Arabidopsis thaliana: one gene and its partners. The protein of the gene in region 4 interacts with the protein of the main gene of each other region in a pairwise test. Each region holds a gene or a part of one and is shown on either strand. Other genes may lie near its edges. The genes, in order: AT1G15710, AT3G13940, EMB2816 and AT3G15420.

What was found.
Region 1: the proteins of AT3G15420 (region 4) and AT1G15710 interact in a two-hybrid assay, tested with the Arabidopsis thaliana proteins (one large-scale study listed by BioGRID).
Region 2: the proteins of AT3G15420 (region 4) and AT3G13940 interact in a two-hybrid assay, tested with the Arabidopsis thaliana proteins (one large-scale study listed by BioGRID).
Region 3: the proteins of AT3G15420 (region 4) and EMB2816 interact in a two-hybrid assay, tested with the Arabidopsis thaliana proteins (one large-scale study listed by BioGRID).

What each region holds. Positions count from the first base shown.
Region 1 is NC_003070.9:5,402,320-5,406,475, reverse strand, and holds AT1G15710 (prephenate dehydrogenase family protein), read right to left. Parts: upstream 2,347-4,156; 5' UTR 1,972-2,346; coding exon 895-1,971; 3' UTR 566-894; downstream 1-565. Other genes in the region: TRFL5 (TRF-like 5), read right to left, coding at 1-338; ATPC2 (ATPase, F1 complex, gamma subunit protein), read left to right, coding at 2,687-3,847. UniProt on the Arabidopsis thaliana protein: Involved in the biosynthesis of tyrosine. Has a weak prephenate dehydrogenase activity.
Region 2 is NC_003074.8:4,599,903-4,604,229, forward strand, and holds AT3G13940 (DNA binding / DNA-directed RNA polymerase), read right to left. Parts: upstream 2,681-4,327; 5' UTR 2,511-2,680; coding exon 2,049-2,510; intron 1,915-2,048; coding exon 1,777-1,914; intron 1,631-1,776; coding exon 1,316-1,630; intron 1,159-1,315; coding exon 745-1,158; 3' UTR 520-744; downstream 1-519. Other genes in the region: AT3G13930 (Dihydrolipoamide acetyltransferase, long form protein), read left to right, coding at 1-87, 171-241; AT3G13950 (ankyrin), read left to right, coding at 4,247-4,327.
Region 3 is NC_003071.7:1,178,321-1,182,039, forward strand, and holds EMB2816 (Small nuclear ribonucleoprotein family protein), read left to right. Parts: upstream 1-1,650; 5' UTR 1,651-1,804; intron 1,805-1,896; exon of another isoform or gene 1,897-1,938; 5' UTR 1,939-1,985; coding exon 1,986-1,988; intron 1,989-2,073; coding exon 2,074-2,155; intron 2,156-2,257; coding exon 2,258-2,329; intron 2,330-2,646; coding exon 2,647-2,699; intron 2,700-2,846; coding exon 2,847-2,936; 3' UTR 2,937-3,192; downstream 3,193-3,719. Other genes in the region: REME1 (Pentatricopeptide repeat (PPR) superfamily protein), read left to right, coding at 3,240-3,719. UniProt on the Arabidopsis thaliana protein: Component of LSM protein complexes, which are involved in RNA processing. Component of the cytoplasmic LSM1-LSM7 complex which is involved in mRNA degradation by promoting decapping and leading to accurate 5'-3' mRNA decay.
Region 4 is NC_003074.8:5,207,075-5,210,252, reverse strand, and holds AT3G15420 (Transcription factor TFIIIC, tau55-related protein), read left to right. Parts: upstream 1-1,743; 5' UTR 1,744-1,963; coding exon 1,964-2,047; intron 2,048-2,122; coding exon 2,123-2,173; intron 2,174-2,253; coding exon 2,254-2,305; intron 2,306-2,412; coding exon 2,413-2,549; 3' UTR 2,550-2,678; downstream 2,679-3,178. Other genes in the region: AT3G15430 (Regulator of chromosome condensation (RCC1) family protein), read right to left, coding at 1-84, 170-379, 507-845; AT3G15410 (Leucine-rich repeat (LRR) family protein), read right to left, coding at 2,974-3,049, 3,137-3,178.

The DNA of each region.
Region 1 (4,156 bases), on a different chromosome or scaffold from region 4:
TCACCGAAGAAGCCATCCGAAGCATTCACTGGCCACATAAACCTAAGCGTGCATTCCACAGCAGTCCAGCAATACGCAGATTTGAGAGATCCCATGATAACCGAATGTTCCTGTAACAGAAGCTTCTCAAGAATTTCGAGGAGATCAAGCATTCCTTCGTCTACGGTACCTTGAATCATGGAATTGGAGATATCCCGCAAAACAGCAGTTAGCTTGAGTTTTACACAGTCGTCGGAATCTACTGGTTTCAGAGCCGATAACAGTGGAAAAGCGTAAACCCTAGGATTTAGTTGGCGTCGGAGGAAAAATTCAGCTACCCATTTGTCCATCACTTCCATTTCCAAGACTTTGCAAGTAAAAGATGCGAAAACCCGCGATCAGTTTTCGCCGTCGGTGCGTGGTTAGGGTTACAATTTTGGGAAGAGGAAAAGCTCCGACCAACTATGGTGGCAACAACACACGTGTGAATCATTCAAATTTAAAATGTGTTTTTTTCTTTTAATTAAATAAGACGAGACATTCAAGCGGCCCATTATATAATCGGCCCATAACGAAACGATGTTGTCCTGATCCGAATCGGGTGGGTGACCCGAGATCATTGGAGACAGAGAAAAACAGTAATGACTTTTGAGCAATACAATGTTGATCCAATACAAATATGGCCGGAGAAGGAGACAATTTGTCCGTATTTGTTTCCGGCGACCAGAGGGATAAGCATTTCCACAGATACATTTAGAGAAAAAAAGACAAGTTTATTGATACCAAGCCAAAAGAGACCCCAACATACATATGAACACACCAAAATCCCTTTTTTATTTTCCACTCTTGACGTTTTCCAAAAAAGTCACAACTTTTTATTTTTGAATCTAGCATAATCCAATCAAACTTGTGATCTTAAGATGATGATGATGATGATGATGATGATGATGATATATCATTCATAGGAACAACACCACCATCATTGAGCAATTTCTGCTCAGTTTTCTTGGGCGATTGAACCTCCCCACCAAACATTTGCTTCCTGTATTGCTGATGTAATCTCCCAAACAGCTCCTTCTTAACAGACTCAAAAGCCATATCCAATCTCTCCAACTGTTCAAGAGCATTCGGATTATACATAAACAAACCGTAGAAAAGCTCAAAGCTATCACTCGATGTGTTCTCCACCAAATCCAACAACGTCTCATAACCTTTGGTGTTAATCGGCGAAGACTCAACTCCATATTTCTCCAAAACCCTTCCCATAGTATGCGTCACGAATTGCGATCCAGCTGCGTAATAATCATGCTTCTCACAGCTCATTTCAACCATCTTGCAACCTTCATTCTCAAAAATTCTTAGAAACTTCTCACACCTCTCTTGTCTTGAAGCTGCGTCTCCGATTCTCACCTTATCGTAGACAAAGGGCAAGCCAGACCAAGAATGCTTACCACTCTCAGGTCCAAACATTGGATGAGTACAGAGAATGTCAAACTCCTTAGGAAGGTATTTAATGAAGAGGGCTTTTGGGAATTCCTTAACGGAGAGAACATCGACGAAGAGTGTGCTACGACGGAGACGTTGGAAAGGGAATGATCTGAGGACTGATTCTGTGGAGAGGATTGAGGTACAGAGGAGGACAACGTCGGGATGTTGTTCACAGAGATCGTGAGGGTTATCGAAGAAACGAGCTCCGATTGAGTTTGCGGCGTCGGAGTAATCGGAGCGGGAGTGAGTGATTAGATCGTGGCCGTGTCGAATTAGGGTTTTGGAGAGGAATTGGCCGAAATTGCCGAAACCCAAGACGGCGATTTTGAGAGCAGAGGATTTGCGGTACTCGGATTTGAGTTGGGTTTCGTAATCGAAGATTTGGGCGGCGTCGATTGCTCGAATTCGAAGAGATCGCGGCGGGGAAATGAGGAATGTGGGTGAATTGCGGCGGAGATTGGGTGGAGAAATGAGGGGTTTCGCCGGAGAGAAATGGAGTAGCATTGTGAGTAGTGTTGATTGAGTTTTAGCTCCAAAGTTGGGAGCTTAGAGAAATCTGTGAGAATAGAAGAGGAAGAAGCGGTTGCGCCAAAGGAGGAAGAAGATGCGAGCGAGCCTCAAAAATAAACGGATCAATTTTATGTCGTGGCCTAAACGTGGTGATGCTGATTGACCCAAGAAAAACAAAATGCTAAATACACAACAACACAAGGACCATAATGGAAATAAAAAATTGAGGTCAAAATTAAAAGTCGTTCCAAGGAAATTTGTAGGTACTGTTTTGTATTCATTTGTATTTAGTAACCCGCATTTACAATATTTCTTTTTCTGAAGGACTAGAGTTTTTATTTGTCCATAATTTTATTTTGATTTGTTACTTTAAAGTTCAATCTCTTCCTATATATGAATCTTTAAAAAGAAAATTTCGTAATTTTCATATGCTGACTATAGTTGTTGTTTTTTGGTTTTCTATTAATTTGGCTATTTGTAGTAATTTTTATTAGGATTTAGGAGGGTTATTGATATTTCCCTCGTTTTTCTCATAGAAAAAAAAAAACAAAAACTCTAATTTTGACTTTTGTAGTAATTTTTATATACTGACCCCTAATAAACATGATAATTACAGAAAACCCCTCAAGTTCTCTTTCTTTGCTCATTTCTTCACGAGAAGATGAAATCTTAAACCTCTCAAGTTCAGGGTCTTCTTTCCCAAACGAAAATGACAGGTTCGATCTCGACCTCTTGGCTCTTGTCGTCTCCTTCGAATTCGAATTCGGCTTCGAGCTCAGAGTCCTACTCTTTCATAGCTACCTTGAAACCAGTTCGTTATTATCCGTTTCAATCACTGACACCAAACCGGATTTCGTCGAGATCTCCGTTGCCCTCAATTCAAATTCGAGCTGGAATCCGAGAGTTACGAGAACGAATCGACAGTGTGAAGAATACCCAGAAGATAACGGAAGCGATGAGACTCGTGGCGGCAGCTAGAGTTCGTCGAGCTCAAGATGCAGTCATAAAGGGTAGACCTTTCACTGAAACTCTTGTGGAGATTCTCTACTCAATTAACCAATCTGCTCAATTAGAAGACATTGATTTTCCTCTGAGCATTGTTAGACCCGTGAAGAGAGTTGCTTTGGTTGTTGTTACTGGCGATAAAGGATTGTGTGGTGGTTTCAACAATGCAGTGACCAAGAAAGCTACTCTGCGAGTTCAAGAGTTGAAGCAGAGAGGAATAGACTGTGTTGTGATAAGTGTAGGTAAGAAAGGGAATGCTTATTTTAGTCGGAGAGATGAATTTGATGTTGATAAATGTATTGAAGGAGGAGGTGTTTTCCCAACGACTAAAGAAGCTCAAGTTATTGCAGATGATGTGTTTTCCTTGTTTGTCAGTGAAGAGGTTGATAAAGTTGAGCTTGTTTACACAAAGTTTGTGTCTTTGGTGAAATCTGATCCTGTGATCCACACTCTGTTGCCTTTGTCGATGAAAGGAGAGTCTTGTGATGTGAAAGGTGAGTGTGTTGATGCTATCGAGGATGAGATGTTTAGGCTAACGAGCAAAGATGGGAAGTTAGCTGTGGAAAGGACCAAGCTTGAAGTTGAGAAGCCTGAGATCTCACCGTTGATGCAGTTTGAGCAAGACCCTGTTCAGATTCTTGATGCAATGATGCCTTTGTATCTCAACAGTCAGATTCTAAGAGCACTGCAGGAATCTTTAGCGAGTGAGCTTGCGTCGAGGATGAATGCGATGAGTAATGCGACTGATAATGCGGTTGAATTGAAGAAGAATCTGACGATGGCTTATAACCGAGCGAGACAGGCTAAGATCACTGGGGAGTTGCTGGAGATTGTGGCTGGAGCAGAAGCTCTTCGAGAGTCTTAGGTAGAAACTACAGCTGTGTAAAATCATTTGTTGTTTGTGGTAATAAATGTCATGAAAGAATTTACAGATCATGAGAAATTGAGAATCGTTTACACCTAACGCCGACAAAAGACTAACAGTAACAATAAATTCCAATTATGTCTCGAAGAAGACAACCAATTTAGGAAATATAAGCAGCAGAAAGTAACGGCTAAAACAAGTCTCGACCGAATACTTGGTGGATTTCTAAATTCTAAACAGAACAAAAAGAAAACAGAAAGACAGAGAGTGAGAGAAAGAAACATCATTTGGTTGGTTCTTTAAATGAGC
Region 2 (4,327 bases), 610 kb from region 4:
GAGTTGTTCCCGGTACTGGTCCAGACCAATACAACGTTGCTTCATACATGTCTGTAACACTAAGCTGTGACCACCGCGTAATAGATGGTACAGAATCCGCCTCTCATTCCTATTGTCATTATTAATCATCACCTCATCGAAAACGTCTAATAAGTCATCTTCCTGTGCAGGTGCAATTGGAGCCGAGTGGCTGAAAGCATTCAAGGGCTACATCGAGACCCCAGAATCTATGTTGCTCTAAAATTCAGACGCACACACACATCAAAAGCTAAACTCATAAGAGTCTTCTGACCTCAAATTTCTTTCCCACAACATATTCTACCAGATTTGATCAGCAGTAGGCAATGGCCTTTAAAGTTGAGTGTTTTGCTATTCTTTAAATCATTGAGTTGACAGATTTTTGTCTCAAAATAAAATCAGGAATCCAACAATTTCACTGTGCACTTGTTTTTTGGCTTAATGCTTGTTCATCATGGGTTGGCAAAATAAAACCCATTTACTTAATTTTATTAATCAACTCCAATAAATATCTCTTTCTTCTAATAAAATGTCACTTAGTTCACTATCATGGACTTAGAGCAGTTTGCTTGCTTAAATGCCAAAACATCATATATCATTAAACCCAAGAAACAGATGTCTTAGGAACTAAAACAATTTATAATATCTCAACAGACCGTCAAAGAAATATCATTAAAATAGCAGAAAATATGTAAAGATAGAACAAAATCTTCTCCTAGATCGTCATCACTTTCGTGCCCTGCGCCTCCGGTTAACCTCCGGGAAATTGAGAGGGGTCGGTAAGGTAGCAACCGTAGTAGAATTCTGCTTCAGGAATTTGCAGCCAAGCTGTAGAAAATGTTTCCTCAGCTCAACTGTGCTTATCCTCAGATCTTTTGCTATGTCTTCTGGATCGGTCATGAAATTATCCACGTGAAGGGATAGCACAAGAACGTAGCTTATCAGAAGGTTGATCTTGTCAACAGGTATCCTATCTGATTCAGAATCCTTGAACATGCTGTTGAATTTTTGACGGAAGATGTCTGGCATCTTGTGGTCTTTAGCGGAATCGTAACCATTCATTGAGTTTCTGTCCTTGAACTTAACCAGATGGGTGAGAAGCGTTGCAGCACCACAAACCGTCTGCTTTTTCATATCGTCCTGCATATGTAACAAAATGACATACATACATAAAGAATCTTCTGAGCAGTAGATAAAACCATGAGAAGTTCAGAATCCATTTAATCAGAGCAAACCGCGAAAGTGGTGCAAGCTAACATAAAATATTTTGCATCCAAGAAAATAGTCATAATTTTACCTTGATATCTCGCAATCTGTACAATCTGTTGCGGACAAATACAGGGTAAGCCTCAGTTGCTGCTTCAGTTTCCTGTTGCAGAAGCCAGTAAATATCTTCAAGAAAACTCCAATCCCCCTTTTCAATGATCTTTTCTAAGGGATAAGCTTCATTTGCAGTCGTTGCAGCGGTATTGTAAGGAGGAATGTTGCGTGCAACAGTAGAACTGGTGCCTTCAAGAGCAGCTGTGTTAACACCTAACTCACTTAGTTTCCCATCAAGGACCTTCTGAGTCGCAGCATCATCTCCCATATATAAGGCACGCTTCTTCTTATCCTGCATAGAGACACACATTCTCACTCAGACATATAATCCTCCCAACGAATCTCACGACAATCAGTTCTCTACTAGTCTGGATACCAATAAGACAGATACTGTAGGAAACAGTAGAATTGGTGTTTTCAGATGCTGTAGTAACATACCCGAGTAACAGCTTTTTTTGTATTATAACGATCGCGTTCTCCTGTTTTTAGTTCTTCAAGTTCTTTGACGACAGCACTTCCTGAAGCTTCTTCCTCATTTGTTTCTTGAGCTTTAACTCTAGGCTCCAATCTGATTATCTACAAGTAACACAAAACCAAACTCAAACTCTCAAAAATCATTTCTTTTCTATTCACAACCATACACTCAAAACATTCCAACTAATTCAAACCAATTAATCACCAAAATCAAAACAAGGTAACAGAATTTAAACCTTATTGTGAGCAACAGGAAGAATCCTCAAAGTTTTAGCCTCTCTATTAAAAACACCAACTCTATAAGTATTCGTCTGCATAGCAGCTTGCTCGCCTGTGTAATTAGTTCCGACGAACTCAACTCTTGCGCCTGGAGGACTTACAACAACCTGAATCCTCTTCTTAGAATCATCCTTATGCTTGTAAACAGTAACCTTGGGAGTTTCATGAACTCTCTTGCCTGTTTTTGGATCTACTTTACAAGGATCGTATCCTGTAGAGAAATAGGCGACGATCGGAGAGATTCTATCGGGTCTCTCGGCGACTTGCGTGACTTTGAGAGTAACTCTCTTGTCTTCTTCGTTTTCATCCTCTGTTTCCGTTGCTATTTTTTTCCCTTTCCTTTGCTTCTTTTGTAGTTGTTGTGGTGTATTGAAATCTTCTTCCTCGTTTCTATAATCATTCTTCTCTTCGCCTTCCATGGCTACTGAGGTTTGGATTCTTTTAGTCTATCGAAGAAGCGGCAGCGATTCAGAGAAGGGTTTACTGGAAACTCACTAAATGCTTAAACCCTAATTTGGTTATGTTTCGGGAATTTATTACATAACAGACCCTTGTTGTTTGTCCGAGTCGATAAAGAAATCTTCACAGTTTTTTTTTTTGACCCCAAACTTTTAATTTGTTTAGAAAGATCTACACCGTTATAACGACGTCTACGGACTACGGAATCTAAACCCTGGCTTTTTCTCTTAGCTAAAACGACACGTAGTTCGCCTGAAACTTAGAAAACAAACACACGCTGTTTGCAAAGATCCCAATTTACATTGATCTACCTCCAAAGTATCTAAACTCTTCTTTAAAGCTTTGGCCACATAACCTTCTTTTAAGTTTTTTTTAACTATGGATTCTATTATCTTCTAATTTTTTCATCATTTCTAGACCAAGTTTCTATGCTGGAACAAATGTAAAATTTTGATCCAAGTACACCAAATTCTTAGTTCGTTTTTAATATAGATATTTCAGGTTAAGTGTATATTGGACTGATATCATCACAACTAGTTTTCACTTTTGACAGTGGACTACTATCGGATCGGTTATTCTTTGATTAGGGTTCTTTAACACGTTCTCTCTCTTTTTTTCGAGTCCAAAATAAAGTCTTGTCGTCCAACTAGCTAGCGTAGGATTTGGTGAACTTGGATACATATATTTTTATTCGTCGTCAAACTTACCTAGCAACAAAACAAGTAATGCTGTACTATTTTATTTTATTTTGATAATCACCTGATCACCTTACCCAGATACATATTTAAGCTGACGTATCAAATATTTGTGTAATATTATATGAGTAACATTTGCAGGTATGTATATCTAATAAAAAATTTAAGAAAAGAGTAAATCGTGGTGTGTGATGTTGATGTACGACCACAGTTTTCTTATGCCACTTACAACTTTTGTAATAGTTGAACATAAAAGAGCTAGCGTTGTGGATAGATAGATGAAAATTAATCTATACAATCGATTAATTAACATTGCCAATATTCAACCACTAGATCATGACTCTGTTACTTGTTAGTAGCTTAATTTATCATTATGTTGAAGATTTTATATGTACTAATGTCACTGTTCACTGTTGCGCAATTAATTAATGTTCTAGTTTTTTTCTCCGCAATTAACTAATGTTCAACTTCAACTTAATTTTGGTTTGTTGAATGGTATGCAACGACTGTTCTTTATCCGCTATATATCTTTATCTTTTTATACCACAAGTCGTATAAGTCATTAGATACAATGACAAGATGACAAATGTAGTACTATGAAAGAAAAGACACGTTGAAAGAAGAGTGACACAAATGAGAGATATGATCTCCCAGAGTCAAATTTGAGGTCTTGCGATTCTCCTATAAACCTCAAAAACTCTATTTAGTTAGAAATATATAAAAAATAACGACGACGCTTCTTCCCTAATGTCGCTATCGTTGACTGACTTGATCAGAATCATATAGTTCTCAAAGAGTAGGTTTTTAATTCCCGTACGTGATCAACAAACAAATGGTTTCAAATTAGACTTTTGCTGATCAAACCAGAAATTTCTATCTCCCTTTCCTTTTTTAAAAAGACTCGTTCTTTTTTTTCCTTTATAATCTCGACAAAGAGAGAAGTTACATATATAAATTTTAAGAATTATAACTCTTTTGTAAAGCATTCATCGCTTCAAATCATGGAGATCAACGGTCAAGAAGGTCATCGATACGAAGAATCATCATCAGAGTGGTTCGTAAAGTATCTAAAACGTCAAGGC
Region 3 (3,719 bases), on a different chromosome or scaffold from region 4:
ATCCAAAGGAGAAAAACTAAAGTTACAAATACTACAAACCCAAAATATACAATTATACAAACTATATTATGATATCTACATATATATACATGACTATATATTCTAACTAGATAAGGATCCGTCCGATGGACGAATTTATTTTTTTATAACTAAAATTAAATTCAGTAAAAATAATAAATAATGACGTTGTAAGTAGAAATTATCTTTCAAAAGTAAAATATATTTATTTTTACTGTTTATTGTGTTTTTCACCACTAATATTATTGATTAAAAATTATTTGAATGAAAAATATATCACATTGACTAAAACCCTTTATATATAAAGATGATCTATCAACGTTGACTAAAAACTTTTGAAATCATGACATATGATAAAACTTTTGATTGATAACTTATTCATGATAATATTAGTTACTAATTTTGAGAAAAAAATCTATTATATTATTTATAAAATGTGATATCCGTCAATGCTGAAGATAAATGGTTTTAGTAGAAAAGCATTTTCAGGCCGATTTGACCCGACTGAGTTCAAACGGATGTATGTGGAGCTTTTACAAAATAAAGTTGACTCATTTTTAGTTATCTATTTTGTATTTACTTTATCAGCGTTGGATTAAGTAAGACAATGACAATCTTTGGAAGTTACATCGTCTCGTTGGAATACGCACAAATGAAGTCTCACTCAGGCTACGATGACCAATCCAAGCAATAGAGGAGAGATTAAGAGTCTTAGAGTCAAACTGGTCTGCAAAGAACTTTATAAAGTGATGAGGATCAAATGTAGAAGATTTGAAGATGACATAGAAGAAATTTTCGAATTCACATGTAATTATAAGTCTTTTGGTTTTGATTCATGAATAAAGTGATTCTTTCTTCGTTAATGATTGAGATTTCGGTTTAGATTTTTTTTTTAGTCTAAATTAAGGTCAACAACACGTTTGAATCTTTATTCATCTTTTTTTTACGGCTCTAATATCTCTTAATTTTACTCGATTTGGTGTTATTTAAATTTCGATTCGGCCGTTGAATACCTGAAATTTTGCTAGGTCAAGTTATTCAAATCTTTTTAACAGAGATATTTACTATTTGCGAGTTTATAAATGTGTGTGCATTTTTCGTAAAAGAATCAAAAATTTCTTTTTTGGAGTTTTGTGTCGATAGATGGTTAAGAGATTTTACCAAATGATTTACTTTACGACTTACAAGTACTTCACAAGTTCATAGTTAAATTTTAAAAGCGTTGCTCAGAATTAGAGGTGGATCAAACTTATGTTTCGTTTTAATTTTATTTTTGGTTAAATTTGTTAGTAATTGTTTTTAATAGGTTGTGCCGTTGTGGTAAATTTGCTTTGTGTTTACCAGTTATCTTGTTTTTTAAACATCTATTTTATTAGATTAAAAGTAAGGAGTATAATGACAATGCTAAATTTAGTTGTCTTTATTGTAATTTCTATTCAGATGATGTTTATTCTTCTTAGCTAACTGAACAATTGTATTACGATTTTATTAATTCCTAACTAATATCCCCTTCCAATTTTATTTCGGGTTTAGTTAACAATTTAATGTTTAGTTATCGGTTTATGGTTCAATTTACGGTTCAGTTCAAATAATATGGTAACCATGGTTAGGGATTTAAACCAGAGTCCTTTACGAGATCAGAGTTAAAAAACAAAAAGCGTCACTAGGAAGCTGCGACTATTTGACTGACTCTGATTTCACGCGACTCCTTGTGAGATTCTCCGATTGCTTCGCCTGAGTTTCTGGGTTAACTCTCCACGCCGTCACTTTGATCTTTGCTTTTCCGGTGAGGTTTCTTCATCCACTTGTTGATTTCCGAATTCACACATTTTCCGAATCCACTTGGGGCCAAAGAATTGCAAACCCTAATTTTTAATCATCAACTCTATTCTGAACCAATTTGATTTCCGTTTTTTGCAGATCTTTAGGGTTTTTGTTTAGGGAATTGTCGAAGACTCTGCTCTAACATGGTAAAGTTTAACCTAAATTGAAGTAGCAAAGTATCATTGTTATATGAGTCGAGTTAATTCTTAAGCGAGTGTTTGTTATTCACAGTCTGGAAGAAAAGAAACGGTTTTAGATTTGGCCAAGTTTGTAGATAAGGGTGTGCAAGTTAAGCTCACTGGTGGTAGACAAGGTAATAAAACAAGTGTTTCTCTCATTATGCTCCAAAGATGATGATTCTTTCTAATGTTTTCTCTGAGATTTGTTTGATAGTTGCTATGTTTTTTGCTTGCAGTGACTGGAACTCTTAAAGGCTATGACCAATTGCTTAATCTTGTTCTTGATGAAGCAGTCGAGTTCGTTCGAGGTATCTTTTATCTTACCTATATCTACTGCATTGATCTTGTTAGGCTACAATTCTCTAGTGGAATCCGCCTCTTAGTAAACGAATCTCTGTATTGCTATGAAGTTTATTACTCTGGTTCATACAGATGTCTCCATGATGCCATTGGAAGATATATGGAAATTTTGATTAGAAGAGACTGTTTGATTGCTTAATCATGTTATGTTGGTGATATGAATGGGATGATTTCATTCTCTTAGCTAGATTTTGAAACTAGAAGTGGGATCATATTTCCATAGATCTAACTCAGTTTTATGACCCTTGTGTTATGTTTTGATCAGATCATGATGATCCTTTGAAGACTACGGATCAGACAAGACGCCTTGGTTTGATTGTATGATTCATTTACCTTCTTTTTTCATTACTATAAGTGTAATCCTGTTTAGTGCAAATAATATCATTGTTTCTTCTAGCATCGTGTTATTTGTAATGGAGTTCCATAGTTTAGATGCTAAATCATGATGGTTTGTCTTGTTTTTAGGTTTGCCGTGGAACAGCGGTGATGCTTGTCTCACCAACCGATGGCACCGAAGAAATCGCTAACCCGTTCGTTACTGCAGAGGCTGTCTAAAGACTTTCTTCTCAAAGAATATGTCTCTCTATTAGTTTAACTTGGCGATTTAGAGAGTATTTCATCTAACTCTCTGGTGTGATGTTGGAAACATATATGTTCAATTTAAACAATTTGGAACATCATGGACACTTACCTAACTTCGTTCTCAAATCTCGTTGTGCCAAAGCACAAAATCTCCTTAACCAGAACTGAAGTAAACCGGAAAAATCGAATGTCTGAGTCTTCTCGTTACTGAACCATGGATTTATAAGCGAGTGATTTGAAATTTTTGAAGTTGTTTCCATAGTTTTAGTGGAGACGATGAAGTCAGTAATGTCAAAGATCAAACTTTTTAGACCAGTCGTCACGTTACGTTGTTCTTACAGCTCCACAGATCAAACTCTTCTTCTTAGCGAATTTACCAGACTCTGTTACCAGAGAGACCTTCCCAGAGCTATGAAAGCAATGGATTCATTGCAAAGTCATGGTCTTTGGGCAGACTCTGCAACTTATTCTGAGCTTATCAAGTGTTGTATATCTAATAGAGCTGTTCATGAAGGGAATCTCATTTGTCGTCATTTATACTTCAATGGTCATCGACCAATGATGTTTCTGGTTAATGTTCTGATCAATATGTATGTAAAATTCAATCTTTTGAATGATGCTCACCAACTGTTCGATCAAATGCCTCAAAGGAATGTTATTTCTTGGACTACGATGATTTCTGCTTATTCTAAGTGTAAGATTCATCAAAAGGCTTTGGAGCTTTTGGTTTTGATGTTGAGAGATAATGTGAGGCCT
Region 4 (3,178 bases):
CTCAACAAGCTTAGGCCTAAATATTGGACGGCTAGTATCTAAATGACCACAGCAATGCGATGAATTATCCCCACAAGTGAGAACCTGTGCCGGATTTCAAATATGAGTGATTATGGCAAACGACAATATACTCACAGGATAGGTTTTAAGTGAAACAGAAGCTACCAACCTGTCCAGATTGCAATACGAAAGCAGAATGGTTCTGTGTGGCTGAGACTTGAGCCACTTGAGCAGGGAACGGAAACTCTATAGGTGTAAATGCTACACACTGAGTAGTTTCAGAGCCATGAGCAAGAACACCGGACAAACTTACACCACAAGAATAAACCTTTGAGTTGTTGATTAGCAAAGTGTGATACTTTCCTGTTGCAATTTGCATCTGCAGAAAAAATAAAAGAAATGCATCTGAGACTTCTAAACCAAATTAACCAAGAATCAACTTTCTCCATAGCAACTTCACTGAACTACCTAAAACTACTGACTATATGAAATGACAGAAAGCATACTTTGCCTTGAGAGGTTTCAACCATATCTGAGGATTGCTCAACTGACTGCAAGAAACTAAAAAGCCGCTTCCAGTTTCCCTCACAATTGGCAAAGAGCTCTTTCTGTGTAGTCAAACCCATTCCCACGTAGACAGGGTGCATAGAGCAAAGCTGAGACGCCGCATAATCAGCTAATGATCTGAATTTCAAAGGATAGAATCCATGGCTCCCTCCGAAAACCTTAGAAGTCAATTCCAAGCTAAGTAGATCAACCGCACTAAGCCTCCCAGAGGTCAACACCTCCAAGATCAAATGAGAAGGAAGATCCTCGAACGAAATCAAACAGTTTCGATCAGCCATTTCTTCCCTTCCTAATTCTAAGAACAGGGTTTCAAAATGACCTAATTGAACGTAAAGGACGAGACTTTGGGTTGCTTCAAGCTACTAGAGGATCAGATTTTGAGGCGAAATCGAGAGCAATTGAAGTAATGTATGAAGAACACGTTGGATGGTAGAAAGAGATAAGAAATCGAATAGGAAAACGGAGTTATAGATGAGAATCTCGCAGTTGGTCTATTCGAAGATCGGAAACTAATCATGAGAAGGGTCAGATCGCAAGAATCAATCCACCTGAACACGCCAGATTCTTCGAACTGCAACGAAGAACAGAACAATCCACAATCAATCAAACTAAACAAATCCCTCAAAAAGGAGAAAACTTTCGATTGAAAAACGTACAATTGAAATCGAAAATAGGGAACGAGGAATCGAGAAGAAGAAAAGAGGTTAGTGGTGATAGATCCTTACCTGGAAAGCAAAAGGTCTTGACTTTTTGGTTGCCCACTAAACAAATGAAACCAAAAAGTCTAAAAAGAACTTTTTTATATAAGAGAATGGTGAAAGACGTGTGAGGACGAATAGAAAATTAGGGGAAAATTCAATATCTTGCCTCTTAAGCTTCTTTCGTGGCGATTGTTCCTCTCTGTTTGCAGAATCTTTTGAGGCTTACTTAGTCGTCGGCTCTTGAATGTACTCTGTTTTATTGCTTTAGCTGAGAGTTTTATGTGTTTTCTGCTTCACCACTACTTTTGCTTGGTTTATGTTCAAATTAAATTGGTAACTTGGTTATTTGCATAACTATTTCCGGTTCTCCGGCTTCACAAAATCCTCCGGTTTAGTTTTACGGTCTGAGATTGGATGTAGTTTCCGTGCTTGACACGTGGAAGAAAAAGAAGTGAGAAGATGAAGAATCGGCCCTCCATATTTTGGGCTTTAGGTTATAGTAATGGGCCCAAAAGTGAGTCTCTCGTAACAGAGCAATTTTTAGACAGACGAAGAAGAAGAAGAAGAAGCAGAGAATCGATTGACACGAATCTTCATCTTCCTCTTACTCTTAATCAGGCTTGTTCTTCAGTTTCCATCACTTAAGGTTTTCGTATTTTCTCGAAAGATTCAACGGAAAAGATAGAGATAGATAGATGGAGGAGGAATTTGTTATGATTGATCTTGATGAAGTTTCAAGGCACATTGAGATTCCATCAGATGCTCCTTATACTTTATCAGTTAGTTCAAATCCATATTCTTTAGTTAAACTCTTTGCATTGGTTTTGTTTTGACTTTTGTTTATTATTTCTCAGGGTTTGGATACTTTGAATCCGGTGTTGACCATTGATGGCAAAATCAAGCTGGTGAGTTTTCTATAACTTGAGTTTGAGTAACTCTTTTGCTTAAACCATTCTTAATCGTGTTAGATTTGATGATCTCTCAGGTTGGAGAATATATTGAAACGATTGGTACATGCCTTGCTTTCTCTGAAAAGGGTTAGTTTCACTTTTCATCTTTATTGGTTCACGTACTTCTTTTGTCCCTTGATGTTTTTACTGAAGCTGATTTTTGAGGTTTCTTTACTTTTATTTTGGTTTTGCAGAAGAAGTTTCAGCAAGTGAAAACCAGATGCCACATAAGAAGATAATTGAACCTGTTGCAAAACTCCACAAGATTCTTAAGTTTAGATTAGCAGCATTAGACAATGATGATGGAGAAACAAAAACAAACAATTTGTAATAGTTTTTCCCTTGTTTAAGTCATTGGAGAGCTGAGTTATGGGTATGTGTAGAAAGGTTACAAATTTTTTTAAATGATTAGGAATGATAATTCTCATTTCATGTTAAAAGATTTTTTTGGACTTGCTTATTGCCAAACTTCAAAAGATTCTTAAAGTTTAAGTTATAAATTAGCATTCGACAATGAAAAATGCAGAAACAAAAAGAAGAAACCAATTTGTTACAAAAAAATTCTCCTGTTGAGGCCATTGGAGTTTATAGACTTGTAGTACATATCACAGAACCAGACGTACTGGATTACACACCAACAAAAGTGAAAATATCTTAGACAAGGGACACACGCATTTCTCATCAATAAAATCAATCTGGTGTTCACACAAATCTTACAAACAACAACATAGGTGTTGATGTTAATGTTGTAGAAGCTACTGATCTGGAAGTCTGTCTTTCAGGTAGTTCAACACAGCTTTTGTTCCTCTTTCTAGAATTGGCCTCCTGATACTGTTTTAAGAACGTTGGTGAAAAAGAAAATCAATCGATCTGGAAAGTTCTTGTGTTTATTAATGTATCAGTGTTTATCATTTATACCTTCTTAATGGGTTCCCGTCAAGTCGTAGAACCTCAAGTGTA